Astyanax mexicanus: one gene and its partner. The protein of the gene in region 2 interacts with the protein of the main gene of each other region in a biochemical or structural test. Links are inferred from orthologs where the notes say so. Each region holds a gene or a part of one and is shown on either strand. Other genes may lie near its edges. The genes, in order: ect2 and racgap1.

What was found.
Region 1: the proteins of racgap1 (region 2) and ect2 form a complex in vitro, tested with the Homo sapiens proteins (3 studies listed by BioGRID and IntAct, with this or other methods). The link is inferred for Astyanax mexicanus from reciprocal best matches to the Homo sapiens genes RACGAP1 and ECT2.

Annotation. Positions count from the first base shown.
Region 1 is NC_064423.1:4,511,710-4,522,361, forward strand, and holds the start of ect2 (protein ECT2), read right to left. Parts: upstream 4,661-10,652; 5' UTR 4,317-4,660; intron 2,424-4,316; 5' UTR 2,407-2,423; coding exon 2,274-2,406; intron 2,080-2,273; coding exon 2,000-2,079; intron 1-1,999. UniProt on the Homo sapiens protein: Guanine nucleotide exchange factor (GEF) that catalyzes the exchange of GDP for GTP. Promotes guanine nucleotide exchange on the Rho family members of small GTPases, like RHOA, RHOC, RAC1 and CDC42.
Region 2 is NC_064420.1:6,130,660-6,141,779, reverse strand, and holds the start of racgap1 (rac GTPase-activating protein 1), read left to right. Parts: upstream 1-5,914; 5' UTR 5,915-6,074; intron 6,075-7,409; 5' UTR 7,410-7,412; coding exon 7,413-7,497; intron 7,498-7,606; coding exon 7,607-7,809; intron 7,810-7,986; coding exon 7,987-8,129; intron 8,130-8,239; coding exon 8,240-8,309; intron 8,310-8,399; coding exon 8,400-8,453; intron 8,454-8,565; coding exon 8,566-8,643; intron 8,644-9,455; coding exon 9,456-9,573; intron 9,574-10,051; coding exon 10,052-10,197; intron 10,198-10,891; coding exon 10,892-11,056; intron 11,057-11,120. Other genes in the region: inactive dipeptidyl peptidase 10, read right to left, coding at 2,995-3,033.

The DNA of each region.
Region 1 (10,652 bases), on a different chromosome or scaffold from region 2:
ATTTACTGTAACAGTAGATTAACCCTAATTTATAAACGGATTTATAAAAGGATTCTGAGAAAAATCTTTATATTTATTTAAAATATTTACTGTTACAATAATAATTAAGATTTTCAGTAATGTTTCTTATGAAAGATGAAACCTGTTTATCTAATCCCTAAATAAAAATAAATAGCTTAAATAAATAAAAGGTGTAGGCACGGAATATCAGGCATAAAATAGACAAAAATGCTGGCCTGTTAAGGGGTTAACTTTAAAAAGAACTAAAAATTCACACAGGTACTAAAACACTAGTAAAACACTACATTTTTCATGAGGAGGGAAAACAGCCAAATATATAAAATCACAACCAAAGGTAAAAGTCGTGTACTAATGAAACAAGCAAGCCTTTACATGAACTGGAAAATTAAATACATTGTTTTGCTCAGAAGTCTTAATCTGTTGACAGCTGTTAAATAAACTGGTTCTGCACACATTCACTCATTAGATGAATCCAACCTATCAGATACTAACAATATTTATCAAACACAAGAAGATAAACCCGTCTGTATACGGGTAAACAGAAAATGCTATTAATTGAAATTCGTCTTTGTTCTGCTGACATAGACAAATCACATTAGCGGATAGTTTTAGACAGTCAAAGCATTTCCTCAGGAAAACAGGAAGTGCTGCCTGCTCTTATCAGTACACACATCTATCAGCCCAATCACAGTCCAGTCAAAAAATTCCCTAAAGGCAGGAGATTTTTACTAACTGCTTATCTATGAGCTCCGCAGGCAACAGAATGCAGATTTTTCTCTATAAACACCAAATTACACTAAAATGCATCATCACAACAGAAACAACTGGCTGTTTTTTATTTCCAATTAAGAATCACTACGTTTTGATTGTGTTGTATCAATATGTGGTGTCTGATACTGATATTGTTATTGAAACATAGCTCTAAACTCCCCAAGACTCACATAAAATCACTCACATAAACAGAGCTCACCAGCATCAGTCCCAGTTTCAGAATGAATCATTTAAGGGCTCTATCACTTTTATGCAAATAAGCTGTTTATAGCTTATAGCTATGTGGTAAGTTTACCACACGTGAGTGTTAGCTTGTGCTAAATAGGAAAACATGAACAAGCTAGTTTAGCTTAACTGTGACAGAAGCACAAAACTCAATTATCTGCTGAGTTGCCACGAACAGTAGGTACAGATCCCTCCTACAGGTGAAGTCTGCTGGCTAATTCCACTGTGTACTGTCTGAGGTTCTCAACCAAAATAAGCAAAATTGTACATCTTTAACTGGTCTGTTGGGGTTGACGGGTGAGGGGTGGTGCCAGAGTGGTTCTATGCAGGGTTCCTTATTGTGACGTCAGCTATACAAACGGCTCATAGAAGCATATGATTCCTGACACCAATCTCTTTCAGCTGATTCACAGAAAACAGGAAGGGATTTTTTTTATCTTGACCCAAATAAAAATACAAAGGAATGCAAAAAGGTAAGTTAGGCATAATATGTCTTATTTAAATGGTTTTAGTGTAGCGTAGTTTTTTAAGTGTTCTATACAGACACTACATTTATTGCAGTTTATGGCTATTTTACAACACTGTAAAAATAATAACACTTTGAAGAGTTGTCGTCATTGCATGTACTTTGCAAGCTAAGCAATGCACGTTATTTGTACAATGTTTCATAATAATTTAATACTGGTCAAATTTTGTGAAAGTATCGTAGATGATTGTCGTGCGATATATATCGCAGAATCATAGTATTGTGATATAATTGTGGGCAGTGTATAGTCATAATATCCATGCCCTGTGATTTCTACCAGTAATCATTACTGAGTGCCATTACACAAAAAAATATATATAAATATAACTAAAAATTAAAATAACAAAAATGTATCACTGTGGCTAATCTTGCATAATGTCACTATGTGTTAAATACAGTACAGGCATAATATGATTTTTCCTTATCGACAGTAAATTGCAATCAATCCCACTTTACCTCCAATGCCTTTACAAGTTCAGGATCGTGGCCTGTTTCTCCCACCAGCACTACTCTAGTCTCCACTCGGCGAAGGATTTCTGAAAGAATAAGAATAAGACAAGAATCAAGGCAAGTCTCCCAGGAAATACATATACTGTCATACGTCAAACAAAAATGGAAATCTGGGCTCCTCTGTTCAATTTAGAATAAAGTGACAGAAGCATGTTAAACTAAAATAAAGAAATAATTCAAATCTTATTTGATATATTACTCCAGTGGAGACCTCACTTACCCTCTGCTTCATCAGGAGCCAGCCCCAGGAAGGTGTGCTCCTTAGAGGTCTCTGCCATTCTGGAGTCGTACACAGACGAGTCCACCAGCAGGCTACGGGCCATGCCCAAAGTCACTATGCTGCTGTCAGCCATGGTGCTGTGACCCAATCCTGTCCAAAAGAAAATTAACAGTTACATCAAAAAGGGAGAAGAGAAAGTCGTGAACTCTATGTTCAGCAAACTGCAAACAATGACCCTCAAAAAAAAAAAGGAAACTTAACTTTTATAGTATAAAACTTTTTTCCTATGTGTAGCTATATTTAGACTCGTTGTGTTGTATGTGCTTCAGTTATAATGGGACAATTTATTCTAATTAGCAGTAAAGTTCTATTATTTCCAATATTGGAGATTGAAGTCATGCCCAGAATAAAGGAAAATTATGGGTTTTTTTTTGTTTTTTTGTAGTGCCTGCTTTCATAGTGTCCATAATAATAATATCCAACAAATGACATTAGAGAAAATTACACCCTACTTACTGTAAAACTGCTGCACTCAAACTCACTGGAACATTATGTTAATCTTCCTTTTATATTTGGGAAAATTCTGTGCCTATTCACTGTTTTAACATTTCTGAAAAAGAAATCAACATAATGTTGTGTATTATATGTAATAAGGGCAACAAGTTAAACATAACATTAATATATATATATATATTTTTTTTTTTTTTTTTTTTTTTTTTGGAAAACAGCATTTCTCATATTTTTTAATCATTGGAACATAATTAAAGTCAAAAAAAGTTAACCTACTATTAAACATCCCTATACCCATCTAGGTTAGTTAACTAATCTAACTAACTAGCTAGCCTTAAGTAGCTAACTAAGCTAGCTAACACTCTTGGCAAACTTAATAAATCTATTCAAGCTAGTAAAATAGTAGGTAAAAAGGTAGAGAAAAGAAGAGTTATCCAAAGTTTGTCTGGAAGCAACTGGAAACAGTTTAGGAATGCTACAAATAGTTGCTATGCATTGAAAAAAAAAAGTATCTCCAAAACAGCAACTTTGTAAGAGAGAAAAAAACTTCTAAATTTTCAATGGAAGTCGATGTAAAAAGAGTTTGTTTCAGGTCATGCTGAAATTTTTCTATTTGTCCGTTCATAAAGAAATGTTGATAGTGTAAAGGGACAGTTTGTCTGTTTAAGTTATGTAGTAAACTAAAAAATTAACAAAATGTAAATACTTGTTTTTCATTGGACAGCAACTAATATACAGTACATACACACAGACCTTTTATTAGCAAAAAATGAAACCTCAAATAATGCAAAGAAAACACGTTCATATTCATAAGGTTTTAAGAGTTCAGAAATCAATATTTGGTGGAATAACTCTGGTTATTAATCACAGTTTTCATGCAACTAGGCATCATGTTCTTTTCCACCAGTCTTACACACTGCTTTTGGATAACTTTATGCTGCTTTACTCCTGGTTCAAAAATTCAAGCAGTTCAGTTTGGTGGTTTGATGGCTTGTGATCATCCATCTTCCTCTTGATTATATTCCAGAGGTTTTCAATTTTGCAAGATCAAGGAAAAACATCATTAAGTGGTCTCTTATTATCTTCCTTTTGTGGACTAACACATAAAATAAAAATAATTTAAAGTTGTTAACAAGGTTAACACTAACTAACTAACTTAGCTAATTAACCAGTTAACAAACCTGTGTTGGGTAGGGTAACATGTTTATTTAGCTATATTAGGTCAAGTTTCTTAAAGTTTAAAGTTCTGATGAGCCCAAGGCCGATTTCCTCCAAGAATAAAAGGGTGTACATACATTTGACAATAACATAAAGGTTAAAATGATGTAGTTTTATTAAAAATAGCTAGTTAGTTTAGCTACTTAGCTGCTGTGTTTAAACAGTGACAGCTGTCTGCTAGTTAGCTAGCCTAGCTAAAGGTGGGGGGCTACTGGAAGCACTGCTACTAAGAAAAACCTTAAAAATAAAGCAAAAAGCAGTGGTTAAAGTTAATAAATGTGTTTAGAGAGAGGAAGCAGAGATAAGAAGACTTACCCGGGGTCAGCAAGAGTCAGGTCGGGCCCGGGGACAGTGCTGAAAGGTCTGCTGGAGCTGAGAGTTGAGCTGCCTGGCTGAGCAGCAGCAGCAGGAGGCCGGCTAGCAGCTACACAGAGTTCCCCGCAGCCTCCCTTTCCCACTGTTAAACTACCCAACACACAACAAACCGCCCCAAAAACCGAGCGATAACCCGTATAAAATAAACCACACCGCCGGACACGGGTGTGACAGAGCGCGTGGGCTGAGAAACGCTAGGAAACAAGTGTAAACATTAAATCCATTTTCAAGCTTTGTGCTCCTCCAGCAGATCCTCTCCCGTTCTGAATTCAAAACTACAGCCGCACCGAGGAGCCGCGCGCTGATTGGCTGAGGCGGATGAGGTTGGCGGAAGTGGCTCCGGATTGGCTGTTAAATTCAAACCGCGATGCAGTGGCGGGGCGCGTGCGCTGGGCTGACTGAGAAAACAGTTTATACTTTATTCAGATTATTTTATTCCGATTTGCTTTAAATCATCTCTTCACTAGTATAGAAGCTCATTCCTCACACCTAATTCACAACATTAATCCAGCACATATTTATGTATCATTATTAGCTAAGTAACTTTATTATAAGATACAAAGTTTTTTTTTTTGAGGCAAAATCTCATTATTTTGAGATACTATGCCGTTATTTTGTGATTCTATCTCATTATTCTAAAATGATCATTTATTTTTTTAAGATAACAAATCGATATTTTTAGATTATTTTAATATATCTCCTTATTTAAAGACATTTTGAGAAAATATCTAGTTATTTTGAGATACTATCTCGTTATTTTGAGATGCTATCTCATTATTTAAATATATTTTGAGAAACTATCTAATTATTTTTTTAATTTAATTTATCACAAACACTAGGTTAGCTTTTTGAGGACAGGCATTTTAGTTCATTTAAAAAAGAGGAAAAATTTAATTGAAGAGCCCTTTCTATACTAATATTGTTGTACTGTAAGTATTGAGTGACTAAGTATCAAGTATCAAACTTAGGAAAAATGTGTGTTTGGTTTTCCACAAACCAGATTTTGGAGTCCTATAAAACCAGTAAATCAAACTTTTATTAAATAAAGTCATTAAATCCTTTAAGAGACATTTACATATACTGACATTACTGTAGCAATTTGGATTAATGTGAAGGCAAACCTAGAAAAAATGTCCATTCGGTTTTGCATAAACCAGATTTTGGAGTCCTATAAAACCAGCAAATCATTGAAGAACCATTTCCATACTATTATTGATGTACAGTAAGTATCAAGTTATGTTACTGTAGCATTTTCAAGTAAAGGAAAGTCAAACTTAGGAAAAATGTCTTTTCGGTTTTTAATAAACCAGATTTTGGAGTCGTATAAAACCAGAAAATCAAGCTGTTTTATATAACAAACAAACCCACCATTAAATCTTTAAAGAGACTTTTTGATACTGTTCAGGATTTAAGTATCTAGTGATATTATTGTGGCAATTTGGAGTAATGTGAAGTCCTATAAAACCAACTAATCAAACTGTTATCAAATTACACCAATAAATTATTGAAAAAGGTGAGCACTCAAATGGCTAGCGCCAGCCCAGGCACATAACTGTATATAAGCAGACAGTAGCATTAACATAAAGGTGCTCTTTAAGCAACTGTCTTAATGTTAAATTGCATAAATGTGTTGACTTGACCACAGGCTATCCACCTGTCTGTTTATAAGAAGCCAAGAACTACAGAGGAGAAGTAAGTAAGTGAAGCTGGGAAGTCTGAAGTCTGAGTCTTCACAGAATAAATATTTATTAAGCTGCTGCTGGGACTTCACTGCTCTGCGCATCTTAAATATTAAGCCAACACAGATACCACATGACAGGCCTCTGAAAAATGAAGATGTCGCCTGTCTCCCATATCATTTCACAAAGAAGAAGACTGGCCCTTTTTTTTTTTTTTTTTTTTTCAAATGAGAGCTTCTTCAAAAGTCTGTGTCTTTGTTCTGCTCCAGCTCACCAGCGCGGCGGCTCCAGAGGCCGAGGCTCATAACCAATTCCTCCCAGGCGGTGGTTAGGGGGGGTGGCTGCTCCTGCGGCTGCTGAGGCTGCTGGGACCGGCTTCAGAGGGGCCTTGAGAAACCTGTGTCTGTGCCCGGGCTGAAGGACACACTGATGAGGACTGGAGAGATTCTCTCTTTTTGTTTTTTAGCCTCTGACTCTGAGTGACTGTGTGGCAGATTCAGCCCTTTGTTGCGACTGTGTGCTCTCCCCCCTTCTGCCTCTCCTCATAGGCCCACTGGAGCTTGAAAGCCCCCCTCTGTAGAACAAAGCCCGGTGAAGCCTGCTTTTACCACCTTCTCCTTTCTGTCACTCTCTGAGAGGCGCACCCAGCGGTCTCCCCCAGGTGGACCACCTGACATGAACTAAACGGTCGCGTGGCAGAAGATGAACGTCTATCACAAAGTCACAGTAGGTAGTCTTTCTGAGATTTCAGAGAGCTCCTGAGCGAACGGAATTTATTTAGGGAATGGAGCGCTGTAGTAAAATACTATTTGTCATAGAGTAGACAGTGTTTTTGCTGCATTTTTAAACAGCAGGTTGGATTTCACCTGCTGCGCTAAAACCTCACCTGTACCGCTAGTGCTACCTTTTATATTCCTCACATCATCAAGACCAAATGAACTTGGATTTATTCAAAAAAAAAAGAAAAAAAAGAAAAGAAACAGAAGTGCTTTTTTCAGCTGTCTTTTTCTCTGCTTCCCGTTTGACAGTTTGGCAGGAAGAAACGAAATTAGAAGAAATTAAACTGACACTTTTCAGAGCAAGGAGCGATTTCACTGCTATTAACAGATGGGGTGACTTACAAAATGAGATTCCTCAATTCCTAATCCTAACCCTTCATCACTGAATAAAATAGATCCATAGACAAAAACTATATATATTAAAGAATTTAATATATATATATATATATATATTATTATTATTTTCTTGAAATATATATATTAAAGAAATATATAAAATAATTACTGTAAAGGTAAGTGATCTTATTATATGTTATTCTCCATAATAGAGCCACTGTGAAGTCTTTATTGTATCAACGGAGGCTTGAGAAAAAAGTGAGACTCTCTCTGTCTGTCTGCACCAAAAACTAAAACTAAAACTAAAGCTAAAGCGGAGGTGGACCATGCAACATGACAATGACTCTTGAAAACGTCTAGTATATCCACCAAGAAATGGCTCGAAGGAAAGAAATGGAGATTAGTGGTGTGCCATATTGTATCGTGCACAATAATATCGCCAACCTTTTTGAATATCTTGAACTATAATATTATACCCTTAAAATATTGTGCCATATCACCCACCCCTAATTATCACATCAGTGTACTACTTTTTTTTGCAGTTTTTAGCAAAAGAAAAAATCACTCTGTTCTCATTTACCATTATACCGGTATATCTACTAGAGACTATAGATTATATCTGTCCAGTATCATTTATTTTACTTTAATCCTGGGAATATGGAGATATTTGGAGTGCATTATTATTAGTATCATGACATTCTGGATAATTGACTTCTGTTACAAATCTGATAAAAATCCGTGTTTTTTTTTTATATCTCAGTTAGGGGTGTAGCATATTATATCGTATGCACTAATACAATTAGATTTTCATTTTGTTGCAGTAGTGTATTCTTGAAATATATATATATATATATATATATATATATATATATATATATAGTATATATATATCGTATATATACATATATTGTCTATATATACGTATGTGTTTTATATGTTTATATATATATATATATACATATATATATATATATATATATATATATATATATATATATATATATATATATATATATATATATATATATCATATGTTTTATATATATTTATATATATTATTCAGTGTTTTCTCATATTGCCAAGAGTATTGTTATTGCGAAAATACCACATAATACCAATAAATATCATGATATTATTTTTAGCACCATATTGACACCCCTACTGGAGATAAAATGCTTAACTGAGATTATAAGGGAAAAGTTGTGATGCTGCCAAAATGATTTTAAGACCAGTGATTTCCTAATGGCTATTAGGTAACACTGAGTGTTCATTAATATGAGTTACATGTAAAGTCCTAGGTTAACCATGGCTAACATAACTAGTCGTTTAAAGTCTGGAAGGTTTTTTGATATTAATATTTTTCTGATATTTACACACCATGTATAAGTTTTTGGCTTTGCTTCCTGTTTTCACCTAAATGACTTTTATTGTGAAACAAACTAGTAACAGGAAGTGGTGGTGTCGGACATTTTTTTTGGGTAGGATTGCTAATAAGGAAAAAAAAAGTTTGCTCCACATCTTTCAACCTCTAAGGAAGAGATACTTCAAGCTGTTTCAAACTGTTCCTGGACCTGTGGATTGTATGTGAAACTGGGTAGGACCAATGCTTTCCTTATTTTGCTGTGCCCTGTATTTTTTCAAGATATTTTTTAATTATCTTTTTGTTTTCGTGAGATTTCGATTATTTGGTCTGATTTTTATGGATTTTGGACACTTTGGCTTCTGATTATTTTTTAATTGCTTGAACATGGACTCATGCTTTGTTTGGGTTTTGATATAAGAACTGTATAATAGTGTAGCATTGTCCATTTGTATTCGTATAAATCAGAATTTTCTGAAATGAGTTTTTGAGTGAAAAATGTCATTCCTATTCGTTACAATGTGATGCACTTACATTGCCTTTATATACAGATATTGTTTGGTTACACATTGATATGACCAAACACAGACATGCCACATGTAACAGAACTTAGTATCATGTTCCATGACTTTTGCCATGTCCCTGACATGACCAGGCCTGTTCCAAGTAGATCCCGTTGTAGTAACATGCTGTATGACATTTGTCACTGTGTTGTAGCTTAGTTTCAGAGTGTTAGCAATCTTCTCATAACCTAGGCCATCTTTATGTAAAACAGCAATGCTATTTTTCACATCCTCAGAAAGTTATTTGTTATGAGGTGCCATGTTGAATATTCAGTGGCCAGTGTCAGAGAATTGTATCCAAACAATATTCTCAAATCTCATGCTTTGAGCGCGTGACACACATACCTCAGCGAGTTCACACGCTCACAAGCCACACATGGTATTTCTCACACTTGCCAATCCACCGGCTGCATATTACAATGTATAAGAAGTGTCCGATTCAAAAGTTTTGAAACACACGTCGGTGAACAACTTAAACAACTGAGGAAGAATGCGCTTTTAATAGAAAATGCACTTATAGTATTCTTTACTTGATTTAAACCCACTTTTAAAGTATATACTTTTAAGTATACTTCTTTTTTACAAGGAAAGTGCCCTTGTGAAAAATAAGAAAATGTAACTGAGAGCGGGAATAATCGTACTCATCATAATTATATTTTAGATCTGGCACTTGTCACGTCTCTAGGCTCTCCTTTCACACTCCCGAACTCCATTTCCCATATACCCACTGGCGATGACGTCACCGTCAGCCGCTCACCTTCACCCAATCGTGTTACTCTCCTCCGTTCAGACTCTCCTGTGTTCTAAGTTGTTCCGGTTCATAGTAATTCTATGTTTTTTATATATAGGGTTCTGTTAGCATATGTTCTTTGCGAGGTATTGTCGACTCATGTTGCGTACTGAGCGTTTTTCCAAACCCTTTTCTGTCTGCCCTTTTGTTATGACCCTTTTTTCTGTATTACGGATTTTGCCTTTTGTATTTGCCCTTATCGGATTTGTTGTATTATCGGACTGTCTCTCTGGCTTCGGATCTTGGACTGTTTCCTGTACTACGTCTCCTGCTTACACTGTGAGTTCTGTTCGATCTGTTCTCTGGCTGTGTTATTCTGTTTACGGCTCTGTTAATAAACCAGTCTTTACCTTTTATTCGGCAAGCGTCACCCCTATCTGTCTGGTGTTTCAGCACTGACCTTGTTATATAATGGAGAAACAGTAATAATATATATATAAATATATAAGTGAATACATAAAGAAAGAAATTGTAATGCTCTGTTTGCAAGTTAGCACATAATTGATCACCAATAAGAAGAACTCATGAACGCAAGCTTTTTTTTTTATGCACATATTTAATCGCATGTTTAAAAATGTAGACTGGTAATACATTGTATTGTATTGTATTGTCGGTTTGCGATCACTGACCAAAGGTGTCAAAGCATTGTACAGTTTGTATTCTTTATAAATACAGGAGCGTAATGATGGTTATCATAAACTCTGCATTCCACTTTTCCTTTTTGTGCTTAGAGTCATTGAACAAAAGTTGGTCAAATGGAAAAAATGTG
Region 2 (11,120 bases):
CTTCACCGTTCCAAACCTAATCACACCCCAAAGTCTGTTTAAATGCTGCCACTGTTGAACCAGATCGAGCTGGTGTTTATCAAGACCATTAAGACTAAGCACACTCATCTGTTCCCCACAGCCAATCCTCATCCATATTCCCCAGGAGACACTCTCACGATGTGGGCTCGCAAAACCGCTCTCCAGAGTGCCATTCACTGAGACACTAACATCTAATGAGTAGCTGATGTCTGAGTGTACCAGCAGATAATAAATACTTTAACACATTTTACTGAGATTCGCAAAACATGGCATCTATAAAAAGAGTACAATCTACACCTTTTTATTTAATTAGTGTGCTTGCAGTAGGCAATCACGTAATTAATCTTCTTAAGTTAAATCAAATTATGATTACAACCATTTTTGCTTTCTTATCTTATCAACTAAAACTTTATTTGATGCATCATATTAATGGCATGTAAATAGCATGTAAATAGCATTGTATATATATATAACCTATATGATACATTTATTTAGTTTCACATATTAGGTTATGTTTTTTTTTACTGTAAAATAGCTAGTTCACATTGCATTCTCAAATTAAACACTTATTGACCTTCTGAGAACTCTCCTCAGAGCTGCCAACTAGCCTATAATGTCTGGCAATAGTGTCTTTATGAAGACACCAGATGGAGCTGTTTTGTCCTAAAAGTTGTACTACTATTATATTGAGTATAAAGGATCTAACACAGATAAAAGTATCACAGTTGTGTATACTCAAATATCCACAATACATACTCAGAAAAGGTAGTTTTGTTGAAATGCTTAAAAACATGGCATTAATGGAAAGAGGGGAAAATATACCTTTTTTATTTAATCAGTGAGCTTGCAGTAGGAAATCATATTGATCATCATAAGCTTTATTCTTGTTTTTAATTATAATTTAATAAAAATATTATTACTACATCATTTTTTTCTCCTTAACTTGGTATAAACTGTATACAGCTGCTAGATGAGTGCAGTAGTATTCTTGCAATAAGCATCCAAACAAGCTATTGTGCCCCATAGGGATGCATTTCAAATTACTGCATTACAATTCCTTTTCTACAGGTCACATCTTTCGAATTAAAGACTCCAAGTACAAGAAAAAAGCACAGTGCTAATCTTTATTAATCACTAAAAATATATTATTCCTCATACGAATGAATGTCAAATGTTCAGCTCTCTCAAACCATTAGACAAAGGCATTAGCAGACAAAAATATTAACATTAAACATAGCAACACCTTAGCAACCACCGTAGAAAACAAATTTGCAACCAAGAACTACACTATAGGACAGAACTACATTATATCTGCTATGGGGAGACAAAATTTTATATTATTTAATATTTATTTAAAATTGTGTTCAGTGATATTACAGTAAGCTACTTTGTTCTGACAATCATAACTGATTATGTCAGTAAAAGGGGACATATTATATGTCTTTTTACACACGTTATAATATGTCTCTGGGCTATAAAAATGTTAATAAAGTTATTTGCACAAAATCACTCTCACATAACGAGATTTCACCAGCTTTATTCCTACCAGTTCCAGTCCCTTTCAGAATGAGCCATTTAAGGGCTCTGTCACTTTTATGCAAATAAGCTGTTGCTGGCTACATCATGTTTATGCTGAGCATTTATCACAATCAGTGTTACCTTGTGCTAAACAGTACATAGGTTTATATAGGATCTCCAGTGGATTTGACATTTTACAGAAACTCTAAGATTAGATCAATGGCTGAGCTGCACTTAAGCAGGGCATTACACTTGTTGTAAAGTAACATATGACATTTCAAAGACTGTTATTAGTGTAAAAATATCGTTATTTTAAAATGTTTCTAACTGTTGTCCATCTCACTGATGTCGCAGTGAGAGGCAATATGTTTGCATGTATGAATATTCATGAGAAATCCTATCGTTTCTCCCCGCCCACCGGACTAAAGCACCATTATACATGATCACCGGAGCAATCAATAATCATCAATCATCAAAAAATAGCTCACATGGCATTCATTCATTCAAGAAAGCACAATTAGATATTTTAAAATGAATGAAAAAACATTTTCATGACAACCTATTTCACCCTATTTAAACATGAATTCCTCAATTGTTTAAGCCACTGAAATATGACAAATATACTTTAATAACACATTCATTGTGATATTTTGACATTAAGTGCTCCCTTCCTGCCCAAATAACAAGTATAGCTTCTAATTTTTTTAAACATTGTACTCTGAAAAAGAGGAGCATGCATGTGCTGAAGTGAATACAGCTTGTTGCATCTTTTCTATGCATTTTATACACTTATACTTCCTGTCTTGTTTTATATTTTATTTTTCAATAAAAAAAGACTATACCTTAGCACCCACCTATTAACATCTTAGCAACCAGCACTTGTACCACAGCAACAGTGATGCTGAGCTGCAGTCACAGAGGCAGATACTCATTTACAGATACAGATGCAAGTGCCTAGTATGCAAGGCTGCACTTGTGAGAGTTGTTGCAGAGCAGATAAGAGACTGAGCTGGGGTATCTGTGCACAACCCCAGCTCAGTCTCTTATCTGCTCTGCAACAACTCTCACAAGTGCAGCCAGGATCATTGGTACTGATACACAGAGCAGCAGAAGCACAGGCAGCAGCACAGGCAACAGCACTGCTGGATATCCCAGGCTTTGTTTAGACAGTGGTGGGCTGGGGTCTCTGCAGGGTAATGGGATTAGAAGTATGAGGGGGGAAATGTGCACCATGCCCACGGACTGACTGCTCTCCATACAGATCCACGCTCAGCTATTAGCTGTAACCGCACTCTTATTTTCCTGCAGCTCCCGTTCACACAAAAGCCACAAGCACGCGCACACACACACACATACACACACACACACCGCTCAGCGTGCAGCATCTGCATTAGCCCAGCCCCCGGGCGATGGACAGATATAACAGACTTATAGAAACACATGCATGTAGTTTACCAGGTCAGTGGTCATGTTCTGCTGCGTGGTGGCGATCATGTTGGCAGAGGATGCTCGCGCCTGTGGCTCTTCTTCCCGCGAGGAGACCGACTACTCAACACGACCACCAGCAACCCCGCGCGCGCTATAATCACACCGGGATAAAGTTACCCATTTCTCTCCCTCTGACACACACCCTCTCTCTCTTTCTCTCTCTCTCTCACACACACACACACTCTCTCTCTCTCTCTCTCTCTCACTCCCTCTCACAGACACACGCACTCTCTCGCTCTCACTATTTCTCTCGCTCTCACTATCTCTCTCTCACACACACTATCTGTCACACACTCTCTCTCTTTAAAAAAACACACTCTTACTCTCTATCACACACACTATCTCTCACTACTATCTCTCTTACACGCTGTCACACTCTCTCACTTTCTCTCTTCAACATACACAATCTCTCTTACTCTCTCACACTATCTCTCTCACACACAGTATCTCTCACTCTCTCTCTCACACACACTATCTCTCACTCTTTTACACACTCTCACTCTCTGTTTCACAAACACACTATCTCTCTTTCTCTCTCACACACACTGTCTCTTACTCTCTCACACACTCTCTCTTACTCTCTCTCTCTCTTTCACAAACACACTATCTCTCTTACTCTCTCTCACACACTCTCTCTTACTCTCTCTCACACACACTCTATTTTTCTCTCACAAGCACACTATCTCTCTTACTCTCTCTCACACACTCTCTCTTACTCTTTCTCACACACACTCTATTTTTCTCTCACAAGCACACTATCTCTCTTACTCTCTCTCTCTCTCACACACACTGTCTCTCATTCTCTCTCTCACACTCTCCCTCAAACACACTCTCTCTTACTCTCTCTCACACACACACTGTCTCTCATTCTCTCTCTCACACTCTCCCTCAAACACACTATCTCTTATTTTCTTTCACTTACACACACACACACTATCCCTTTCACAAACACAGTATGTCTCTTTCACAAACACCGTCTCTCTTTCTCACACACCATCTTTCACAAACACACCTTCTATCTCTTACTCACACACAGTCACACACATCTCTTTTACAGACACACTACCTCTCTTACTCTCATTTCTGGACACCCTACACAACACACTCATTCCACCTGATCAGATTGCTGGCCCAGAGCAGCTCAGGCACGTTGTCATTTGGGACAAAGTAAGTATCCACCTGGCTGCTTTGGTTCATAACTGGTTCACTGCCCACACACTCTTGTCAGTTGTATATCTCCCCCCCATATTCTCCATTCCTCAATCCTATTGATGATTTTTTTCCCGCCTGGAGATGGAAAGTGTATGACCTAACTTCACAAACGGATATACCCCTTCTCCAAGCTATAGAATATGCATGTGGAGATATAGCAGTTGATGCATTGAATAGCTGGATTGCTTGTGATGTTGGTTAGATGCTGTGGCCAGACTAAAACAGAAGACAGGATGCAGCATAGTTTTTTTGTTTACTGTAATTTTATACAATAAACTCTTCTGTTGTTTTGTATGTAAATCACTGCATCTTTGTATTGGTTGCATTGTACATGTGTACATTTTGTTGGAAAAATAAAATTATTATTTTACTGTGTATTTGTCTGTTCTGAGTTAAAAAAAAAAAATTAATATTTTACAACGCACTTATGTGTTTACTGTCTGTATGTCATTATGATGAATGGAGAATGGTGTTTTACACTGAGCACGTCAGTGTTCAACTGCTTCTTTTAATTGTCTGTTCATATGATGGTTTCTGTGTGTCATCTGAACACAAAATAGCCTTTTGTGAAAATATAACACTGTTTTGAATGTAAAGTTTCATTTTGCAGGAGAATTGAAGGATTTTGCCCATTGTGTGCGTTTTTGTTGGATTTGTGTGTAGAGTTCTGAGAATATGAGGCATGTTTTCAGAAAATGTGTGTAAACAATCCAGAAAACTGTAAAAGTTTTTGATGGGGAGGTTCAGGTGAAGCTTTGGCAGCTGGTGTTGGGTTTTCTATTCTCTGCTGCCACCATCCGGCTCTTTCAGGCGAAGCCTCTCTGGGTTGAAAACGCAAGAGGAGAGAGACTAGCAGGGAGCTTAGTAAAACAGATTTATTGTGCTGCTGAAGTGGGCAATAAAACGTAGTGGGGAAATAAGGGGGAAAAGAAGGAAAAATATATTATAAGGACAAAATATAATAAACATTCCATACTGCATTTTGCTTTATGGAGGTTTATGCTCATATATAAGAAGATAAAAACAAATTAGATATTGTATGATATTTTTTCTTTACCTTACTTTATTTGTGGTTATTTTGATATTTTAGTTATTTTATTTAGTTCCTTTGTTTACATTTCAATATAGAATATACAATGCTAGTCAAAGTCAAGCCAGTCATTTTTTTAGCTAAAAATAGTAGAAAATAGTTGTACACAAACAAAAAGAAGTAAAGAAAACAGCATGCTTTATATTAATTTGGACTCACTCGAACTGAATTAAATTGAAAGAAAACGAGATATTATTATTAAAGAAAATACAAATAATATAATTTTAAGGGAAAAAAAATATAGACACACAAAGCTTCAGTTTTTTCATCACATGTGTTTGTTGAAAAAAAATCCATCATAGCTTTTTTAAAAATGTAGTAATTATTGAGTTATTTTATGATATAAGCTTAAAAATATTTTTATGTATTATTTAATAGTTCTTCCTTATAAATATAACTTTTACTCACAAAAAGAAAAGGATATGTAATATTTATACATAATGTTTTTTTTTTTTTTAATTCAAAATAACAAATGTTGTCTTTGGAGTTAAAAATAATTCAAAGTTTAATGAGACTCCGCCCCCCGCTCTGCCTCACTGTTCACGCCTGCGCAGCTTGGCGCTCATTGGCTAGCGGGTAAATTTGAAATGTAACTACACTCGCTGCTAATCCGTTAGCGCTGTGCTCAGACCGACCCAGCTCTGATGGGCAGGCAGCGATTTATAGTGTAATTCAGCGGGTTTTCCCAATTTCCTCCTGATTAATATCATCAGAACAGATCACAGCGAGAGGACACAGCGCAGAGGTGAGTATTTTACCGGGTTTTATCAGATTTTACCGCAATAATAGTTGTTATTGTTGTTCAACAGCACCGGGATTAACTGTAGTTACTGTGTGAATCTGTTTAAAATCACCGCACAACACAGAACCCGCTGCTAATTTATCGTTACAGGATTACCACATTAGCTGATATGTTTACTATATTTTCTTGAGCGTTACATTAACTAACTGCATTCCTTAGAACTAAGTTAGTTAGCTTAGCTAGCTAATGTGCGTTCACCTTGCTTTGGGGTTGACTTGTGCAAGTTACACAGTCGGTTAGCTTAGCTAGCTAACTAACGCTAGCTAGGTCAAGTTAACTAACGTTACTTAAGGTTATTTTGTAGGCATTTTAGCGAACTGTTTGTGATGTTAAAACTGTATAAAATGTCAACGTTAACTATCTAATGTTTGTATTATAACGTAGCTAAGGTCTGTTTATAGCGAGTTTAACGTTACTAGCTAACTTTACCAAGCTAGGTAACAATGTAAAGGCTGTTTTAACTTGTTGTTGTTACAACAGCGTTGTTGTTGTTAGAACAGAATTGTGGTGAGTTGTGCTAACTTGTGGGCTACTCTAGTGTATATTTAACTGTAAAAATACAAAACAAGCACCGTATTAGAGCATGTTCCCTGTATAAGTCTTTTATAATTATTGTATGTAACTTTTATTCACACTTTAGTGCAATGACAGTGAGTCCAAGTTGTTTAATGCACAAACAAAAAAAGCATTTATTATATATATATATATATATATATATATATATATATATATATATATATATATATATATAAATAAAACGAGAAATAATCAAAAGGTGTAGGTCAGCGCATGCGCAGTGCCTTTAGGAAGCACGTATCGATGGGTAGCATAACTCGACAGAACACCTGGCAAGATTCGGCTACCTATTTGTTAATTTTTAGTTTAATTGGATTAGCTTGGGCATACTAGTTATTTAGCGTGGTCAGCTTGATCATGCTGGCAGACACAACCAAAAATAAAGTGCTACATGTGACTAAGTTGGACAAGAGTTCAATGACTAACTCTTTCTTTTTTTGTATTTTATATTACATTGGGAGAACTCTGTACAAAGTTTCATACAACCTTTATATATATATATATATATATATATATATATATATATATATATATATATATATAATATATATATATATATATATATATATATAAATATAAATAATTGTTTAGGATTGTTGAACTTAATAATTTAACATCTTTGTCAGTTATTCAAAAAAAAAATATATACAGAGCCTTTGTAGAATCAGTTCTGTTTTTTTAATTTTTTATTATTCTTTGTAGAACATGGACACTGCTGTGATGAACCTTTTTGGCATTTTTGAAAATCTAAGAGCCCATGTTGACGTCCTCAGTGAAAGCATCGAGCCTCGTGAGTTGAATTACACTGTTTATTTTACACATAAATACAACCTGCCATGTGTGTATATGCAGCGGTATCATGGGAACAGTCTTCCTTACACTTACGCTTGTATTTATAGAGTTCATTCAGATGGCCCTGAACTTTGAGGACTGTCGGCGTAAATGGCTCCGAGTGGAGCAGGATTTCGCCTCGTGTAAGGAGGTGCTTGCCAAGGCGGAGACTGAGAGAGGGGCTCTGGAGGTCAAACTTAAACACGCTCGTAACCAAGTGGACGTGGAAATCCGGAGACGACAAAAAGCTGAAGCAGACTGCGAAAAGCTGGTATGTGACCTGGAGACATTGCACATACCAGACAGACAGAAATGCTGATTGACATTTGCCTTCCATTCATTCCACGAGTGCATAGGTTGCTTTATAAAGCTCAGTAACTGGTGAAGTAGGGCTTTCTTAGAGTAAACCCAGTAAATAATTTCTTTCTTTCTTTTTTGTTGTCCACAGGATCGTCAGATCCAGCTGATCCGAGATCTGCTGGTCACGGAGGGTTCTAGCAATAGCATCCAGCTGAATGATGAGCAACGCTCAGCCCTGGCTTTTCTTAATGCACGCTCTCAGACACCTGCTAATCTCAACAGCAGCCGAAGGTGAGGGAGAGAAAAATAATATCACTGTTTATTAATATGTCACACTCAAGCTTAGGAATAAGCTGCTAAAATATCTCTCTTTTTTAAATTGTAACATTAATTTTCTGTAGGTTGACCACCATTGATGAATCTGCCTCAATCCTATCAGACATCAGTTATGATAAAACTGATGATTCGTTGGTAATTAACTTTCTATTGACTTTAATTTTTGCTGTTTATTCCATAGAGTTAAACATATAAACATAATTTGATTTGTTGTTTTCTCAACAGGACTGGGACTCCTCTGTTGTCAGAACTGTTCGACTGAAGAAACGTCAGAAGAGAGTAAGCTGATGACTTGTGTATATTCATCTATAAAACCCAGTTCATGAAATTTGGACATTCCTTAAAGCAAATATGTGATTTTAAATAAATTATTATTATTATTTTTTTGTAGCGCTCCTCCCGAAACCACACTGAAGGTCCACCAGCTGCTGCCAAGCGGTCTCGATCCACTGGCCGCACTTCTGAAAAGGTAAAAGACCATATATGTATATGTAATGTTATAACGTCCATTTTCTCACTAAGAGTTCCCCAAAGAACTTTTAATTTCAACTTTAATGTAATTTCAGCTACAGCAGATGTTGGTTATACCATCTCATTTAGTATATGTTAAATTGGACCTTCTCCAAATATAAGGCAACAGTATTGCTTTTGCAGACATAGTTCAGACCCAGTCATTTTTTAAGTGTCATGATTTTATTATGCAGAGCCTGAAGGGTTACACTGAGGTCAAGGGTGATTTCACACCTGTAGTTGGGTTCTCTGCTCCAGATCAATTGAGGAATTTGTTTACTTGAAGCGTTTTCTACCTCTGTTTGGTTTGGTTTCACACAGGCACAAACCTAAATGTACCAGGATGTGCACCAATAAACCACGCAAGCACATTGTCTCCTTCAGGCTAATATATCAGATTAAACCGCACCTTATCAACAGTTTAGCTCAAATAAAAGCAGTGTATTTGATAGCTGGGTCAGATTGAGACTGGATCACGTTCTCACCACAAGCAAACTGCTCCAGACCAAGACCACCTCATTTAGCTAGTCTCAGTTTGGTTGTTTTGATCCTCTTCCGAGTGCAATTACTGTTTTAATACCTGCTCAATCGAACCGCACTAAGGGTACAAACAAACCAGAGTTCGTTTTAACCAAACCAAATAGTGATGGTGTAATAGAACAGGGTTCCATATTGTAAACTTTTAGATGTAAAGGGTTTAAAAAAAAAAAAAGACAATGGAAGCAGTTGTAAAGGTTCTGGCACACTGAATAATTATGTAAATATCTATAGGGGAATGAGTCTTTGGTGGCAAAGACTACTGTGACTGTGCCTAAAAATGGAGGACCTATAGAAGCTGTCACCACTGTTGAAGCTGTTCCTTATTGGACCAGGAGCAGGAGAAAGACTGGTAAGTTCCAGCTTTAGCTTATTCCAGTAGACTGTGCAAAATATAATTTTTTAAACGTCATTTCTGGATATATGAAGTGCATTAATAGTATTATTACATTTTGGACCATTGACTTCTGTTACATACGATATGCCACATTTTATGGTGAAAATTGCTGTATCTCATTGTATTCAAACAAAATGTAGCAATACCCTTAAATATCGTGTTATTATTTTAAAGTCATATCGCCAATCCCCACTCAACATATTACACTTTGCACTTACTGAATTTAAAAGCTTTTAAATTAGCAATATTTGAGTTAAGCTCTAAAGGGCGGAGAGTGAGCCTCCGTTACATGTTATTTAAAACTCATGGTTTGTACATAAATTGTCATTTTTTTAAATATGGAGCAGCTGTATGTCAGTTGTTCATACTCTGCATTGTTCCCTGTGTCTGTGAATCTGCCTTCATTTTGCTCTTGCTGTTTTATTTTTTGTAGCTACTATGGATTGGGACACTGCAGACACTGATTCTGTTCAGTCCATGGACGTGTTCAAACAGCCCAGCCGGCCACAAAGAGAGAGCAGAGCAGAGCCCAGCACACCACAAGGTGGTGTCCGCCTGCATGAGTTTGTCTCCAAAACGGTATGTTGAGAATGGGAGGCTTCTGCTTTTGCCTTTTATTTAAACAGTTTTTATATATATATATATATATATATATATATATATATATATATATATATATATATATATATATATATATATATATATATATATATATATGTATATATATATATGTGTGTTTGTGTGTGTGTGTGTGTGTGTGTGTGTGTGTAATTTGTCATGTGTCAAACTCAAGGCACGTCCTTTTATTTTGTCTGCGGGAGTTTGAAAGGGCTTAGTGTCTAAAAATAAATGCGTTGACCAAAAACTACATTTCCCACAATGCATTTTTAAATCGGCAGTGTAGTCATTGATGTGGAAACGCTGCGTAATTTTGCAAACGTTTATTGTAATCAAAGCATCTTATTTATTTGATGCAACGCATGTTCTTAGCAGCTTACAATTTTTGATTTTATATTAACTAAGCCTTTTTTCAGTATGTCGTTTTTTATGTATTTTGATCAAAGTTAATATTATAACTTGTGTTTTAACTTTTTTTTTTTTTTTTTTTTTTTGAGTAAGTAATACATTCAGAGTTATTAAAATTTTAGCCACTTTTTTATATTACATTTGTTACATTTCTAAGTTACATCTGGCCCTTTGAGGACAGCCATTATGCCGGTCTGGCCCTCAGTGAAAATGAGTTTAAAACCCTTGATCTATGTTCTTGTTTTAGGTGATCAAGCCTGAGTCCTGTGTTCCCTGTGGGAAGAGGATCAAGTTTGGCAAAATCTCTCTGAAATGCAGGGAGTGTCGCGTAGTGGCCCACCCCGAGTGCCGTGACCGCTGCCCTCTTCCCTGTATCCCCAACATGGCTGGAACTCCTGTCAAGATTGGAGAGGTAACATGCTTTGTCCTGTCATAAACTATGCTTTATTTTGGGTGTTTTCCCACTTATATAATAT